4 linked regions of the Nothobranchius furzeri genome follow. The protein of the gene in region 4 interacts with the protein of the main gene of each other region in a pairwise test. Links are inferred from orthologs where the notes say so. Each region holds a gene or a part of one and is shown on either strand. Other genes may lie near its edges.

Region 1 (4,155 bases), on a different chromosome or scaffold from region 4:
GATTGTACCTGGAGGAATACTTTGAGGAGCAGCTGAAGCTCATCTACCCAGACAGGGTGTTCCCCGGAGGGAGAGAGGAGCAGATGATCCCCCCTTTGGAGGAGGAAATTGAAGAAGAGGAGGAACAGACGGCAGAGGAAAGCACGGCTCACATTGAATGCAACAAACTTCAAAATCCTGCAGAAAAGGGGACTAAAGTGGACCCAGGCCCAACAGACGACAAGGAGCCGGACACAGACAAGACCGAGACGGGATCAAAGGAGACGAGTGAAGTTGTGGGTAGCCTAGAGGAAAGACGTTTTCCTTCTGAGGAGGAAAAGCAAAAAGAGAACACAAAGATGGAGCAGGCGGAACACCGGCCCTCTGCTGAGAATGACGCCGAAGATGGAAACGCTTCCAGCTCTTTAAAACAGGAGAGTCCTGAGCTCCTGACAGACAAAACCGCAGCTCCTCCTGACTGTCAGGATAAGTCAGCCCCTGAATAAATGAAGAAACTGAAGAAAAGATGGCCGATCAAAGTCTTCCGCAGACTTGGGTTTGCACGTAGATCGTGTCAGAATGAGACAGACTGTAGATGCACAACTAAAGGAGTAAATAACCTCCGTGTGATGACTGAAGCGCACAAACGTACCGCGTTCGTCTCGTTTAAGTTGCAAATGCTCCTCCTAACCTCATAGATCATAGGCTGAGTCTTCTTCAGGAGCTGCGGTGCATGAAACACGTCTCCGGAGATTTTAACACACCAAGTAGCCGTTATGTTGGGAAATCAGTTGTTTTTAATAGTATTTTCTTTGTATTTATAGTGTTAAATAGGACCATAAGTGCTGTAAATAATGATCAAATCAGAGGAGAAATGAGCTGCTTGGTTATTTGTCTCAACTTTGTGCTGCCAGTTGAAACTTTCCTGTCCCTCCTCCCCCCCAGTAATCACAACGAAGCCTTGTTTTCACCGCAGTACCAACAATCCTTGATTTACTCGCTATCAGTCTGAGATAAAGCAGAGACGTCATAATCGGCTCCCGTTGTACTGCTTGTGTCCTAAATGACTGCATCCTGATTAGATGCTGTTGGGAATTACACATGTTATAAAACAGCGTTACACCGCGGGTTTACGCACCACTTTACCCGACTTTACTGTATTTATAATAAACAGGGTTACACGTCACGTACGACTGTGTTGTCGGGGGTTACCAGCTGACTTTGATTGTTGCTGTGGGGAATTTCAAATAGTCGCAGGATGAAATTATAAAATAAAAAAGCCACAGAATAAGGCGACACTCTGAGCTGATAAATGTGTTTTATTTAATCTTCTAGGTCATTTTACTTATACTTCAACACTGCTGTGATTTTAAATAAATGCTCTTATCAGATTTGTTTTAATCATTAGAGCTCCCACCCCTAGCCTGACCGCCCTCCCCGGACCTCCCCGACGGACACGTCTGTGTCTCCTTCTCAAAATTTTCCACCGAGATGTTCTGTTTTCACTCCAGCCAGCATCAGAGAAGATCACCAACGTCTGGATCGTTCTCCTAAATCAGCCGGATGGCTCTCTGGGGTTTTGTTTTATTTTCTCTCTGCGGACTTCTGAACGGGCTTGGTAAGTGAGGACGTTGGACCTGCAAAGTTGTGTTCCACGAGGCTTTATTTGGGAATTGATTTCATTGATTTGATTGGTAGTTAAACTGCAGGCTGTATCTTATTTTGATTTAAAACACAAGCTCTGCTTCTTAACCCAATCTGTGATTATCGCACCAGAGAGCTCTGTTCAGGAGTGCTGTGAGGTTGGAAGGGCAATCGCACAGAGGGATCAAGACTGTTCCTTCCTTCCTCGTGTCACCTCACTCATCTGCAGGTGAGCAACGTCTCAACTTAATCTAAAGTTTTAGTTGTGCTGCGCTTAATCTAAATCTCAAAGTGCTCAGAGGTTTAAAAACAAGCCAGAATTAAATGTTGTGTCTGAAGTGAACCAAAGTTTGTCGTTTCACACAAACACAAGAAGAGATAGATCGATGAACTTTATTGTCCACCTCGAATTGAGGCAGAAATTCGCCTTTGACATGGCTCACCTTACAATACAATCCATATCGCGTTCACACAAATACATAAAAAGACATTTAAAAGGTATTAGAATGTTATCGTAGAAAAATAAAACTTTAAGAATTCTAAATTGTAATTGCGGTGGGAACAAACGATGTCTTATAGACACCTTTCTTGTCCAGTGGAACCCTGAACCTCCTTCCTGACGGAAGTAACTGAAAATGTGGGTTCAATGGAGGGGTTGAGTCTGCACTGATCAGGGTAGCCGTCCCGTGCGCTGCTCGCTCGTGAAGAACAGAAAGATGCAGCAAACCTCTCTGAGTAGAGGGTGGGATGTGTGGTTCCTGAGGGCAGGAATTCCTCAGGAATTCACACTTCTGAACTTCTCTATAAGGGAGGAGCAACTCAGTAGATGTAGGTGTTCAGACCCCCCCCCCCCCTAACCCCCCCCCCCCCCCCCCAAGGGGTTTAAACTGACAAAAACTTTTTTGTGGATCCTTTCCTTCGTTCCTAAACCATTCTCATTTCATCTATCTGTTATCTTTAGCGCTGACTCCTCATAGTATCGCAGGGAGCCGGTGTCTGTCTGCAGCAGTCATTTGGCATGGGGGTGGAGGCACCATGATCATGTCTCCAGTTCATCTCAGACACACACACACACACACACACACACCCTATAGGGACAATATAGAACAGGAGTTTCCAAACTTTTCAAGATAAGAGCCAACATCGTACAGCTTATATTTCTTTGCTTTATTTGTTTTTAAATACACAATGTAGTTTATTGTGATTTATTTATTTGCACTCCTCTAAAATGACGTCATATTAGTAAAACTCAGAATGAAAAAACATCAAAAAGTGTTGCTGTAGGTCAGGTGTGTCCAAACGGTGGTCTGAGGGCCATTTACAGTCTTCAGAGCGATTTTGTGTGGCCCCCAATTACATTTATGAATTTTGTCTCCATAGCAGACTGTTGATGGAGAGAGGCACTTTCTAACATCCTCAGATTTATACTAATGCAGGTAAAACTGGAAAAATTAGAATATGGGGCAAAAGTTTTTTTATTTCAACTTTGACTGAGAGACCATCTAAAGCAGGGGTGCCCAGTCCTGGTCTTGGACCGGTATACAGCATGTTTTAGTTTAACCCTGTTTCAGCTCACCTAATTTCAATCAGCAGGAGATTAACTTCTACAGAGCTTGATGAGCTGCTGCATGGATGATTCAACCACCGAATCAAGCGTGTTGGAGCAGAGAATCCACTAAAACATGCTGGATACCGGCCCTCCAGGACCAGGATTGGGCACCGCGGCTCTAAATGCTCAGGAACACTTTGCAGGTGTTCTGGATTCATTAGCTGATTAATGTGACATGTTGAGCCTAGAACATTGAGCCATAGGGTATTACAACCCCCCAAGGCACTTTACAGCACAACCATTCATCCATTCACACACTGGTTGTGTGTGTGCCACAGCTGCTCTGGGGCACACTGACAGAAGCGTGGCTGTCGAACACCGGTGCCATCGGTCCCTCTGACCACCACCAGCAGGCAGAGTGGGTCAAGTGTCTTGCCCAAGGTCACAACTGCGACAGACTGAGCGGGACTCGATCACACCACCTTCCGGTTATGAGACAGGCACTTAACTACTCTGCCACTGCCGTCCCCATTTAGCTGCACTGTTGTCTCTGAAAACTGAAACTTTTTAGCAGCTCTTCTCTGCTTTTATAGTAGCACGGTCTGTCCATGTTTGTTTGTTTGTGTTCCTTCCAGATCAAATAGAACACATATGTCAGACACATGGTCCGCAGGCCGCATCTGGCCTGCGGAGCATTTTAATGTGGCCCGCGAGATAAATATCAAAAATACATTAAAACTGACCCGCTGGCCGATTTTACCGCAAAGACTTCACTCCCATGATGCTTTGCGGTGTCAGCGCGGAGCCGACGCGCCCCCTCCTTTGTGTTTTTTCCAGCGTCTGCTGCCAGTGTCTGCAGCTCCGCTGTCTCGGACAAACTAAACACTCCTCTCACTCAGCGCCGAGTTCACTCAGCTGTTTTCTGACATTGAAGCCCAGAAACGGAGATTCTAGCCGCTCAGTAATGTGTTCACGACTGAAAG
Region 2 (4,004 bases), on a different chromosome or scaffold from region 4:
ATTTGGTATCTCATAATTATGACTTAGCTAACTCATAATTAGGATTTAGTATCATAATTATGACTTAGCTAACTCATAATTAGGATTTAGTATCTCATAATTATGACTTAGCTAACTCATAATTAGGATTTGGTATCTCATAATTATGACTTAGCTAACTCATAATTAGGATTTAGTATCTCATATATATGATTTAGTATCTCTTAATTATTACTTAGTATCTCATAATTATGATTTAGTATTTCACACTTATGATTTAGTACCTCATATTCATGACTTAGCTACCTCATAATTATGATTTAGTATTTCATACTTATGATTTGGTACCTCATATTTATGACTTAGCTACCTCATAATTATGATTTAGTATCACAAAAATATAATTTAATATCTCAAAAGTATGACTTGGCTATCTCAAAAATAGGAGATGCTATCTCATTACTTTTATTTAGTATTTCTAAATTATGATTTAGTTTCTCATAATTATGATTTAGCATCTCATAAATATGACTTAGCTATCTCACAGTTATGAGATAGTGCCTTATCATATTGAGACACAAAGTCTTAATTATGTGATTTATTTTTCTGAGTGGCGGGAATGGGCTTCCATACTTATTGCTTTAATGTTCTTTGCATGGTGTTTTTTGCTGCTGTATCTGTGCATCTCCTGGTAATATCTATTTTTTAGTACACTAACTATAAAAAAAATAATATGCAATCCAAATGAAAACTGTACATTGACATTTAAACATTTTCACCAGTAAAATGTTATTCCATAGTATAAACAAACAGGGAAAACAATCTGCAAATTGAAATCCAAAGTTAATCTCATTTAAACTCAAATCAAACTCACGGATTACATTTTTAGCCTTGATCGGGTCTTTTAAACTCCCTCGTCAATAAGGATATTTTTTTTGTTTATGAAAATATCATAAAACTCTTCGGGACCAGATGTCACCAGATGGGTTGACAGTGGTGTTATTCTCTCCTTCATCCCTGTCTAAAGTTTCCACTGTGCTGCTATTTAAGGAAACAGAAACAATTCCTTTGGGAATTGCATGGTATTCCAACGTGACCTCCCAGTTAGGGATCAGGTCAAATGTCAAAGGCTCTGGAATAAGGAAACCAGCAGGAAGTAGGTAATAATTGTAACAGATTGAGTTAAAGTGAGGGATTCCTTGAGAAAAAGTCAACTACAAGTAAAATAAACAAATAAGTGAACTTCAAACTATTTGACAGGATCTCACAACGAAATGTGACTTGGCTATTGATCCAACTGTCTCAAGTATCTCCAGGAATTCCTTTTTCTTTGTCGTCATGGTAGCAGCCAGTCAGCTCTGTCATATAAAAGGCCCTCCTCTCCAGAGTCCTGAGACACAACAGCAGAGAGAGTCCGACCTGCTACAGCACAGCCAGGAGGGTAGATCAGACCCCCAATCTCAAGACTCAACAAAGCTGTTAGCGTGTAACGCAACAAGATGACAAATCTTTTAGCTTTACTTGTTGCAACACAGGTAAGAAATACTGCTGTTACATATATTAATCATTATATAGACAGTTTATTATTCTAGCAAATGACTTTTCTTTTAAATAATGGCATTGCTTTTTAGACATGTTTGATATCCACAAAGAGTCAAAATAACACAAATTTGTCATTTTGTGTTGGTTAAACAGCTAACATCATCAGAATTCCTTAATGTTTACCTGTTTCAGAATGTTTATTTAAAAGTTTTTCCTAATTTTTAGTCCAACTGCCCCTCATCCACTAGATGCCAGCTATATGAAACAGAACTTTGTTTCCCTCACAGGTTTTGACTCTAGCCCGATCCCAGGTGTGCCCTCGGAGATGTCAGTGTCCTACAGAGATCCCCGCTTGCCTTCCCGGGGTGCCCCTGGTCCTGGATGACTGCGCCTGCTGCCTGGTGTGTGCAGGTCAAAAAGGTCAAGTCTGCTCTGAGCTGAACCCATGTGACACCCGTAAAGGGCTGCTGTGTAATTACTCTGTCAACATCCACAGGAGGACTGGTGTCTGTGTCGGTGAGTGGGCTGCATTTACACTCACAGATCCTGGAATAAACTACCTCAAGAGCAAAATGAAATAAGTAAATGTCTTTGTTCGCTGTTTGGTGTCCTTGTTCCAGTCGGCGCAGGAAATGTGTGTGTTTTGGATGGATCTGTGTATCAGAATGGGCAGATCTTCTTCCCCAGCTGTAAGTACCAGTGCATCTGCAGAGATGGTCAGATCGGCTGTGTGCCTCGCTGCAACTTGGATGTCATGCTGCCGGGTCCCGACTGTCCAGTGCCGCGTAAGATCCAGGTGCCTGGAGAGTGCTGTGAGAAGTGGGTGTGTGAGCCCCAGACGGAGTCCAGTGCCCTGGGGGGATTTGCATTGGCAGGTGAGTGATCAGAACACCCAAAACTTCCTGTGAGCCAAGACTCTAAAAGGTTAGGTACATGTTTGGAATGTAGCATCAACGTGATGAATTTTTCTGTCAGAGCTTGGTCAGAAGTACGTTGAGGAAAAGACCCCTTCAAACCTTTTATGCTTCTGTGTTTTCAGCCTTTCGTCAGGAAGAAACCGTCAGCTTTAACGGGTGGGACCCCAGCCTGAACTGCATCGAGCAGACCACAGAGTGGGGGGCATGCTCTCAAACCTGCGGCATGGGGGTGTCCACCAGGGTCACAAACAAGAACGATCGGTGTGAGATGGTGAAGCAGAGTCGTCTTTGTGTTATAAGGCCCTGTGATGAGCAGCAGGACCAGCTCACACAGCTTGCACCAAGGGTACGTTCATTTTGGGATTTTAGGATTTAAACTGCACGGAAATTAAGAAAATATAAGCTTTTAATATCAAGAAAAACTTTTCTCATGTTTTAATTGCAATAAATGTCTCTGCTGTCCTAGCTGAGAGGCAGTAGGTGCCAGAAGGTGGAAAGAAGCAACAACGCAGTTCACTTTTCCTACAAGAATTGCACCAGCGTTCAGGCATACAAGCCTCGCTACTGTGGCTCCTGCACAGACGGCCGCTGCTGCACCCCCCACAGAACCAAAACCAGCCTGGTGGAGTTCCTGTGCCCCAACGGTAAAAGCACCCGGAGGCCTGTCATGGCCATTTTGACCTGTGCCTGCCACAGCCACTGCCCCCGAGACGACGGCGTGTGGGAGCCATCGGAGCTCACATACAGTGGCATGAGAATATAGGAGGTTGTGAGTCGGGTGTAAACGGCTATAAGCTGGCTAAGAAAACAACAAAACAGTCCACATTATACAAAATAGTCATTAAAGTGGTGGTGTGTATTTTCCTGGTGCTAGGGGGAAGTACATACATTTCAGGGTAGTTTTACACCGTCTCAACGTGACTGTCGCTAGTTTAAAAAAAACATCATGGAAAGTGTTGTTGCCTGAGGAGCAGAAAGCATGTGACCTCGGCGTGACTCCTCAGACTTTGATGGACTTTCCTTTAATCCCATCGAGAGAATGCAATGCCGATTGTATTTTTCTGGCGTTGCGGTTTCTAGATCTGCTCGGGGTCCTGAGCCTGCCGATGACGTCATCGGCCTAAATATATTGCATCTCGTTTTCAATCTTGTTCTTACACATCCGTTTTGGAAAGAGTTTAGCAGTCTTGTTGTTAATTTTATGTTTCTTACTACCCAAATGTTTCTGAACGTGGTAACGTCATAAAGTCGTGCACCCGGCCAATCACACAGTGTGACGTCATAAAGAGGCACAGGATCCCGAACCGGCCAGAAGGAAACGTGGCGTCTAATATTGCATCCCACAAAGACACTAGACCCTATGTACTTTTTTATGGTTATATATTACAAAGCCGCCAAACTTTTTCAAGGCATGGACATCATTTTATTCATTTTCAACAACATTTTGGTCAATTTTTCCAGAGATTAAAGGTAAAATGTACACATTGACACTTTAATGTACAAGAGGCCTGTAATTTTTATTTTAGACAATAACTTAAAATTTCTGAAGGTTTTCATATTGTTTGT
Region 3 (4,225 bases), on a different chromosome or scaffold from region 4:
CTCCAGGTCAAGATGTCATTGCCCACGTGAGCATTGAAGTCCCCCAGCAGGACAATGGAGTCCCCTGATGGAGCACTATCTAGCACTCGTCCCAGGGACTCCAAAAAGGGTGGGTACTCTGAACTGATATTTGGCCCATAAGCACAAACAACAGTCAGGACCCGTTCCCCGACCCGAAGGCACAGGGAAGCTACCTTCTCATCCCCCAGGGTAAACCCCAACACACAGGCAGAGAGACTTGGGGTTAACAAAAAGCCAACCCCAGCCCTCCGCCTCTCACCCGGGTGCAACTCCAGCAAAGGAGAGTGTCCCACCCCTCTCAAGGACTTGGGTTCCAGAGCCAATGCTATGTGTCGAGGTGAGTCCGACTATATCTAGCCGGTACCGCTCAACCTCTGCCACAAGCTCCTGCTCCTTCCCCGCCAGTGAGGTGACGTTCCATGTCCCAAAGTCCAGTTTCCTTGTCCGGGGATCGGACCACCAAGGCTCCCACCTTGGTCTGTCACCCGATCCACACTGCACCGGACCCTTCATGCTCCTCCTGCAGGTGGTGGGTCCACAGTTGGATGAGCCCATGTATCCGGTTCGGGCTGGGCCCGGTCAGGCCCCATGGGCGAAAGCCCGGCCACCAAGCGTTCGCTCACGGGCCTCAACCCCAGGCCTGGCTCCAGGGTGGGACCCCGGTAAGTTAACCCTCCGGGCCGGGTACTCCGACTCTTTGAATTTACATCCATGAAAGATCCTTTGAACCTTTCTTTGTCTCACCCTTCACCTAAGACCAATTTGTCATGGGAGACCCTACCAGGGGCACAAAGTGCCACAGACAACATAGCTCCTAGGATCATTAGGGCACTGAAACTCCTCCACCACGATAAGGTGACGGTTCAAGGAGTAGTAGGTAATATTGAATAAACTAATTTAGTTATAACGTTTTATCAGCAGGCGTGTGTAATTTCTAATCAAATATATTATATCTATAAAAAAACATCCGAAAGTGAATTTCCAAAAAACAAGTACAACTATCACCAAGAAAGAAATGAGAATGAGGTAAACATGTTTTTAACAAATGAAATAAAAAAGGAACAAAAGACGAATAGAATTTTTAAGAGTAGAAAACCAAAATGAAAATGTGATTTTATTCTATTTTTACCATTTTTTCCCCTTGCCTTATTTATTATGATATATTTTTTGCCATGTTTATTTATTTTTAAGCTCTTTATTTCTGTTAGTCTGGATTCAGGCGAATATGGTTATATTCATTAATAATTTTTTTTTCTTTATGTGTGTGTGTGTGTCAAATTCAGAAAAAGGAAACAAAAACTAAGTAACAATTTATTTGAGTGACTATGATAGAAACTACAAACAAAAAGACGTAAGGACGTCGGTCCCACTTCCGGTGTCGTACAGCTACTGCGGCGGATGTTGATGTTTTGTTAGTAGCTCGCCTCGGACAGCGATGGGAGCTACTTGATATTTTTGTGGTCATCCTCTCTGTTCAGTGCGCGTTTCTCTGAGAGGTTTCCGTGGTTCTCGGTGTCGTTTCTCTCCCGGTGTCTTTACCGGGGTGAGATCGAGTCGGGAGATGATGGAGGACTTTGATGAGATCTACGAAGAGGAGGAAGAAGAAGAGGACGAGGACAGGGCCGCGGAAGAGCAGCTCCTCAAGTATGCTCCGGACCCGGTGGTGGTGCGAGGCTCCGGCCACGCTACTGTGTAAGCTACCGGCGGGACTGGCGGGGATCGTTCCCGGTAAAAGACAACTTGTCGGGGTGTGAGGGGAAACTTGCGGACTAGCTGGTGACTTAGCCGAGTTAGCTAGCTGCTAACAACTGGCTACAGTGAGCAGTTAGAGGACGGCGGTGAAGAGTTTGTTTTGTTTTCTCATCGTGAATTCACCATAATAATTGTGTTATTTTAGCCACTGACAAGTCAGCCCGCTGTTGATACCAACGGCACTCTTTGTCGAGCATTCAGCATTGTTTTTTAATTATAAAAACAAAGTTACTGTGGTTAACTATATTTACTAACGTCCGTTTCATTCCTCATATGTAACAGCTGGACTCAGTTTCCCGAATCTTGTCTCTTCCGGTCAGACTTTTTCGAGTTTAGACGGTTTACACATAAAAAATACTAGATGATACTGTTCACCCAAGCTGCTCCATCTTCTTGGTGTAGATATTCTGAAGCATCTAAAATGTACCTTTTTATGCTGCAAGAGTTTAAAACCTGGCCTAAATTATTTATTTTCTTTCAAATATCTTAAACATTCTGCCAACCCTTTCTAGATGTATAGTCAGTATCTCCAGGCTTTTTGAAGTGGTCTCAAGGTTACTTTAAGGTGCCTTTTCACCAATTTGCTGCCAACTTTTTTGTCCAAAAATAAGCCGCCCTCTGGATTTCAGATCTAGAATCAGTGCAGTTGGTCAGGCCTAGGTTCAGCAACATCATGTGCCCCAAGAATGAGGTCTGCTGAACTTACTGAATAATCAGATTAATCCATCAGTGGGGTTTTTCTTCCCTGATGGCATGTTCCCAGATAACAGTGCCAGGAGCCATCAGTCTCAAACTGTGGAAGAGTGGTTCAGGGAGCACGAGACACATGGATCGTCCACCGCAGAGCCCAGACTATAACATCACTGAGTCTCTGGGGTATGCCAGAAAAGGCTTTGTGCAGCGGTTGGACTCTCAAGGTCTTGGTGGAAAAATAATGCAACACTGTATGAAAAGAAAAACTTGTAAATAAGTGAAGTTAAACATCTGAACAAAGATTGCAATAACCCGAGATGGAGAAAAGATAACTTGTCTGCTTGTTTTGTTCCTGTTTAAATGAAGAGATCAGCTGTGTATCGAATGTGGCAAAAGAATATACTTCACACCACCAGAAACAACATAATGCGGTACTAAAAGCCAGATCAAGACTGAATTTAAGTAGAAAACTCACCCAAGACACATCCAGTGTTATCGCAACATCTTGTTCCATCAGAATGTAGGCGGTTAAAAACTGCTGCCACCTAGCAGACGGAGTGAACTACGCCACACAAACAAATTACAGTAAATGTTTGCATGTAAATTCTCAGTAGAAATCGATACACAGCATTTAATTATTGATTCAGTATCATAAAACAGAATATCACAATATTTCAGTTATATAATCCCTAACATAATCTCTGTTATGTTTACATATTGTATAAAAGCAGAGGCTATGCTGTGAACTGGTTTGTGAATCAGCTGATCTTGTTCTTGTCATTTTCTCTTTTAGTTACAAATTTAGAATCACATGAACCTTCATCCTGCTGTTTAAAGCAAACTAAACCGTAATCGTATGATCAGCTATGCCGTGTTGAGCTTATTTCACTTTATCTGTAGGTTTTCAGTTTAACTCGTAAAACTTCTTTCCGGAGTATTTCTCTTATCCGATGGCTCCATCTAGTGGCTCACAAGCATATCACACAAAAAAATCTGTTGCTCTGTTTAAGATCGCAACTTCACGTATAAATGTGCATCTGTAGCCGACAAACAGATCTAAAACACGTTGTTTTACGAGTATTATTCTCATGTCATGTTGTGTTCTCATATATTTATATTTTAGAGACTTACTTGTCCATGGAAAGTTCATCATCTCTGCATCAGCCGAGGTATTCCTTAAATTTGATGCAAGTAAGAGGTAGTCTAACGCTGTTGGTTAGTTCTGATCGGCACTCAGTTTCCTATTGCACGGAGCTCTGCGGGGCAGGGGGCGTGCTTGGCAAAGATAAATAAATAAATAAAAGACACATTGCTTACATTTTATCACAGTACATGATGAGACAACCGCTTTTATGGATTTCTGAAAAATCATACATCATTTCTGAAAGCGGAAAACTCCAGAAAGCAGCTTTAAAAGGGATGTAAGAAAATATCGATATAACAATGCCATACCATACCAATTTATTTATAAAGCACCATTTCAAAATAGCATGGCAGCTAACCAACCTGCTGTACAGAAAAGAGCCAAATGCTTGAACAAATCAACAAAGCACAATGAAAGCATGAAAATCAGGTAAAATACATAAAAACATAGCATAAATAATCAGGGATAAATATTCCTACTAAAAACAATAGAATAAGAGAGCAGTTAACTGCACTATCAAAAATAAAAATTAATGCGATGAATGATAAAAAACATTTGAAATGGCACAAATAAAACCAAAGACGCTACAAGATTGTGAAAGGTGTTAAAAGTAAG
Region 4 (4,298 bases):
TAATTTCTTTTCGTAAATGCGCAAAGCCATAATTTGAGCTATTTCCAATTTCAGCTGCAGGAATAAATAATTAGAAGACCAAATTTGCACCCAGGATCTGAGCATGACAAGGCTCCAAACACGGCGTGCAAGTTGCAAGCAAACACCCGACCCATGTTTGCCTTCAGGAGCTCATAAATCACTCCGTGGCATGAATGAGGCGGACATTAAAGAGAGCAATTGTGGCGTAATGTGCACAAATAAAAACCCCACTTACGTTTTCATGCGGGACTCCCCGATTCCTAAGCTAAAAGGGGCCGAGCTCTCTGCGTGCGTTTGGTAATAATTCATTTTTATGGCTTGTTTAACACGCGGCTCTGACTCGGAGACAGCAGCAGCAGCAGCTCAGGTTAAAGCTGCTCTTATTTAGCGTCGCTTCTCCACTCACACTGGTGGAATCTGTGATTTTTTTTATTTAAAGACAAGACTGGTTTGTGTGCGTTTCAAACCCCTCACTTCAATAAAGGGATTATGAACATTTTAGCACTCTTGCGCAGCTTTGATTGGATTTATGGGAACTCAATAATCCAGTTTAACTCAGAATCACTAAAAAACACCAGTTGAGATGAAAGCTGCAGTGATTTTTCAAAACGTGTCAAACTTAGCCGAAAGCAGAAAATCAGCTCTAACTTTGGCTGTGTGCGTGTGTGGGTGTGTGTGTGTGCGCGCGCGCGCGCGTGTGTTCAGATGAGGGGGTGGTAGGAGGAAGCAGGGGGCAGATGCTGCTCTCCTGCACTACGGGCCTGCATAACCAAATCATTCCGAGACAGCGCGCCTTTTCTGCGCCCCCGCGGCCACACAAAGAGCCGCGGAATCTCCGCGGGGCCCGGCTGGCCTCAAGCAGCAGAGACGCGATGGATCCTCCGCGCCCACTCACTACAGAGGCAGCTGCTGGAGAGGGGTGGGGGTGGAATGGAAACCAGTTCGTCTCTCTCTCTCTCTCTCTCTCTCTCTCTCTCTCTCTCTCTCTCTCTCTCTCTCTCTCTCTCTCTCTCTCTCTCTCTCTCTCTCTCTCTCTCTCTCTCTCTCTCTCTCTCTCTCTCTCCCTCCCTCTGCTATGTAGTTTGCAACAAGTCTTTGAACATTTTCACATCTAATTTTGTTTTTCTAACATCCTAAAACATTACATTTAAGACAAAGTAGAACTACATTTGACTAATGGAAAAAAGCTGCACATTTGAATGTTGCTAATATTTTACTGATACTGCTTGTTTGAGTACCAGTGAGACAACTTAGACGTTTGTAGGAAAAATAAATAGAGTGTAAAATCTGAATCACGCTTTTCTGAGCTGAATTAATCTACTTAATAACAGAAGCACGTTTATTTAAGTGCATGTCTATCTTCAGCCTGAGGGGGCGCTCATCCCTCCATCTGATCCTTCCCTTCGCCCTCCCTCCCTCCCTCTCCTCTATTCCTTCCTCGGTTAGAGGTTGGGCATCTGCTACAACCCCCTCACTCCCCTCCGCTCTCGCGCCTCCCGTGACCATTCGTTTTCCCAGCAGCTTTATTTGATGAACTTAACAGGATAATCAGCCCACTCGCACCTCGGGCTACATATGCGCATTAGCAGGCTTCGCATTATTATATCATTTGATCACCATACATGCATAATGAATACATGCGGGACTGGAACTCTGGTAGATGGCTGACCTATGACCCGAGAACGGAACAAAACATTAATATCACATCACCTTAATGGTTTTGTCTCCTAATCACGTTTGTGCGCTACTTCAGGCACATTTTAAACGTAATTTGAGCTTTTTGCGCATCCTTTTGCGGTGTTTTATGAATATATGACCGGATCATCTCTCCTCGTAACGTGAAATGCACAAACCTGCTCCTGCTGCGACCTTAAGAGGAAACGAAATTCTGCTGGAAGGTGGCTTGGTGCGATGGGATGGATGTATTTAACAGGGGAAACACGTCCTCTCCATCACATTGTAACAATATTTGCCCAGAAAATCCCTTAATGTTCCAGCGTGAAACATTTCACATCGGAATGGGACATTAATAGCCTAAAGATAGCCCGCGGCTGCAGCGAGCGCGCGCACTCTCAGCCATCCATCCTTCCTGGACAGAATGACACATGCGACACCAGGGCTTATACGCACGGAGACGCCAACACACGCGCGCACGCACACAGACTCACACTTCTCTGTTCTAAAAATACCTGAGGTCAGAGTGCAGAGCGGTCCACCTTGGATGACATCTCTCCTCAGTGTGAGATTGCGCAGCAGGGGGGTTAAAAGACACCGGGTTCACCGTCTCAGCAGCTCCTCGTGTGTCCCGGAGCTGTCCACCTCCGTCTGCCTCCCAGCCCATTGTTTGCTCGGCCAATACATTAGTGGCGACGCGCGTCACCTTGATCGACGAGCGCCTGGAATTTAAATAGCCCCTCAAACACCAATCTGTCACCGGCTAAAGGGACAAGGACCCTCACTGGCTGACCCGTGCCCACGTGACAGTGCCCGTTCATTGATATCCCCAGCACCCCCCTCCCTGCACTGATAGGGACAGAAAGGTAAAGGTTGGCACGGTCACTTTAGGGTGAGAGTGTGGAGAGATCAGAGGGGGAGAGGACAGTCTCCTGGTCCCAGACTAACGATGCTACAATGAGCAGCTTCCTAGATTACTCGGTGATGAGCGGTGAGGGTGGCTCATGTTCGATCAGGGCTTTCCACTCGGACCACGGGATTACAACTTTCCAGTCCTGCGGGGCTGCAATCAGCAGCTGCGGGGCGGATGAGCACTTCATGGCAAACAGGACTTCCCCTGACAGCATCCCTCACCAGCCGGCCTCTTACCAGCCTACTGCCACCTCTATGGGTCTCTCCTATGGGGCCCACCCGGCCTGTGGCTCTAACTATGGGCCCCAAAGTTTCTGCGCCACGTACAACCACTACACACTCAACCAGGAAGTAGACTCTGCACCTGCATTCCCCCAGTGCAGCCCTTTGATGTTTTCAGGTAACATCTCTTCCTCCATGGTGTCTCAGCATCGCCATGGCTACAGTGCTGCCACCTTGGGCCAGCTGCAGTATGCTGCTTATGGCGGGGGTCATGAACAGGCACCTTCTTATCCTGGGGCCTCCAACCCGCTGTCACCTCTGCATGCAGCTCACCTGGAAGCTTGCTGCTCACCTCTGTCAGAGAGCGCATCTTCTGCGCAGACTTTCGACTGGATGAAAGTCAAAAGAAATCCACCGAAAACAGGTGGGTGCAGAGCTGTACCAGCACGAGGGAGATAGGTGGGAATCTAGTCTGTTGCTATTATTGGTTTTAATTGGTTTTAATCGGTCAAGCAGACTGGAATCCACACAGGAGATGTTGACACTGCGAGCGCGTTGACGCGCAAACGCATTAAATGTCCATGTTTCCACTTCAAGCGTGCGCCCCTTTCTTTTAAAAGTTGGTTTAAAGACATTTGTCTTTAACTATAGAGTGTGTTTTATATGTAAAATAATTAGGTTTTCTTTGCCTGCTGCGTAAAAGTTGGTTCTTTTGGATAATCGCACAGTTTGTGCGTCCTTTGGGTGAGAAAATAAACTTGAATCCCTCTTCCTGTCCCCAGGTCGCTCCGGCGAGTACGGCTATGCGGGCCAGCCAAACATCGTCCGGACCAACTTCACCACCAAGCAGCTGACAGAGCTGGAAAAAGAATTCCACTTCAACAAATACCTGACCCGGGCGCGCCGAGTGGAGATTGCTGCTGCGCTGCAGCTGAATGAGACTCAGGTGAAGATTTGGTTTCAGAATCGGAGGATGAAGCAGAAAAAGCGCGAGAAAGAGGGGATGCTGCCGGCTAAGGTCCAGTCATCGCACCCGGAAGAAATAAATCAAGAGAAATTAGACGATGCCGCTTCTGAGAGGTCCGTCTCAGCGCCGTCCACGCCCTCTCCCAGCTCATCCACGGTGTCCTCCACTGGCACGGACACGTACACCTCTACCTGAGCAGCCTATCTGGGCCACACGGGCCTGTAAATACCAACGTTTAAATGTATCAAAACCAGAGTCTTTGTTCGTGAATGACATTGTGTGAACATTTATTAAAGTTAGTCCTCCATCCGGGAGCTTTTGGATCACCCTGGAGCTTTAGGTTTAAATTGTGCAATGTGTCTGCAAGAACATCTCTGTATCTTCAGATAAGTTTGATCTGTAACGTGAGCAAAAAAAGGCAGACACGAGTCTGCAAACGAAAACAAATGTAAAGTGGTGTATCCGGGTCATGGCGGGTATGCAGCGCAGGGTGCTGTTAAGT

Evidence for each region. The genes of interacting proteins can lie anywhere in the genome.
Region 1: the proteins of hoxa1a (region 4) and fibulin-1 interact in binary tests that used the Homo sapiens proteins (3 or more experiments, as listed by UniProt). The link is inferred for Nothobranchius furzeri from reciprocal best matches to the Homo sapiens genes HOXA1 and FBLN1.
Region 2: the proteins of hoxa1a (region 4) and ccn3 interact in binary tests that used the Homo sapiens proteins (3 or more experiments, as listed by UniProt). The link is inferred for Nothobranchius furzeri from reciprocal best matches to the Homo sapiens genes HOXA1 and CCN3.
Region 3: the proteins of hoxa1a (region 4) and chic2 interact in binary tests that used the Homo sapiens proteins (3 or more experiments, as listed by UniProt). The two-hybrid records come from large-scale screens. The link is inferred for Nothobranchius furzeri from reciprocal best matches to the Homo sapiens genes HOXA1 and CHIC2.

The regions. Positions count from the first base shown.
Region 1 is NC_091741.1:53,756,757-53,760,911, reverse strand, and holds the start of fibulin-1, read left to right. Parts: upstream 1-1,315; 5' UTR 1,316-1,542; coding exon 1,543-1,597; intron 1,598-1,755; coding exon 1,756-1,852; intron 1,853-4,155. Other genes in the region: trim24 (transcription intermediary factor 1-alpha), read left to right, coding at 1-485. UniProt on the Homo sapiens protein: Incorporated into fibronectin-containing matrix fibers. May play a role in cell adhesion and migration along protein fibers within the extracellular matrix (ECM).
Region 2 is NC_091745.1:41,805,721-41,809,724, reverse strand, and holds ccn3 (CCN family member 3), read left to right. Parts: upstream 1-1,390; 5' UTR 1,391-1,478; coding exon 1,479-1,514; intron 1,515-1,808; coding exon 1,809-2,037; intron 2,038-2,141; coding exon 2,142-2,396; intron 2,397-2,560; coding exon 2,561-2,784; intron 2,785-2,904; coding exon 2,905-3,201; 3' UTR 3,202-3,464; downstream 3,465-4,004. UniProt on the Homo sapiens protein: Immediate-early protein playing a role in various cellular processes including proliferation, adhesion, migration, differentiation and survival. Acts by binding to integrins or membrane receptors such as NOTCH1.
Region 3 is NC_091747.1:75,930,734-75,934,958, forward strand, and holds the start of chic2 (cysteine-rich hydrophobic domain-containing protein 2), read left to right. Parts: upstream 1-1,385; 5' UTR 1,386-1,582; coding exon 1,583-1,713; intron 1,714-4,225.
Region 4 is NC_091751.1:29,552,102-29,556,399, reverse strand, and holds the start of hoxa1a (homeobox protein Hox-A1a), read left to right. Parts: upstream 1-1,484; 5' UTR 1,485-2,652; coding exon 2,653-3,253; intron 3,254-3,611; coding exon 3,612-3,991; 3' UTR 3,992-4,298. UniProt on the Homo sapiens protein: Sequence-specific transcription factor. Regulates multiple developmental processes including brainstem, inner and outer ear, abducens nerve and cardiovascular development and morphogenesis as well as cognition and behavior.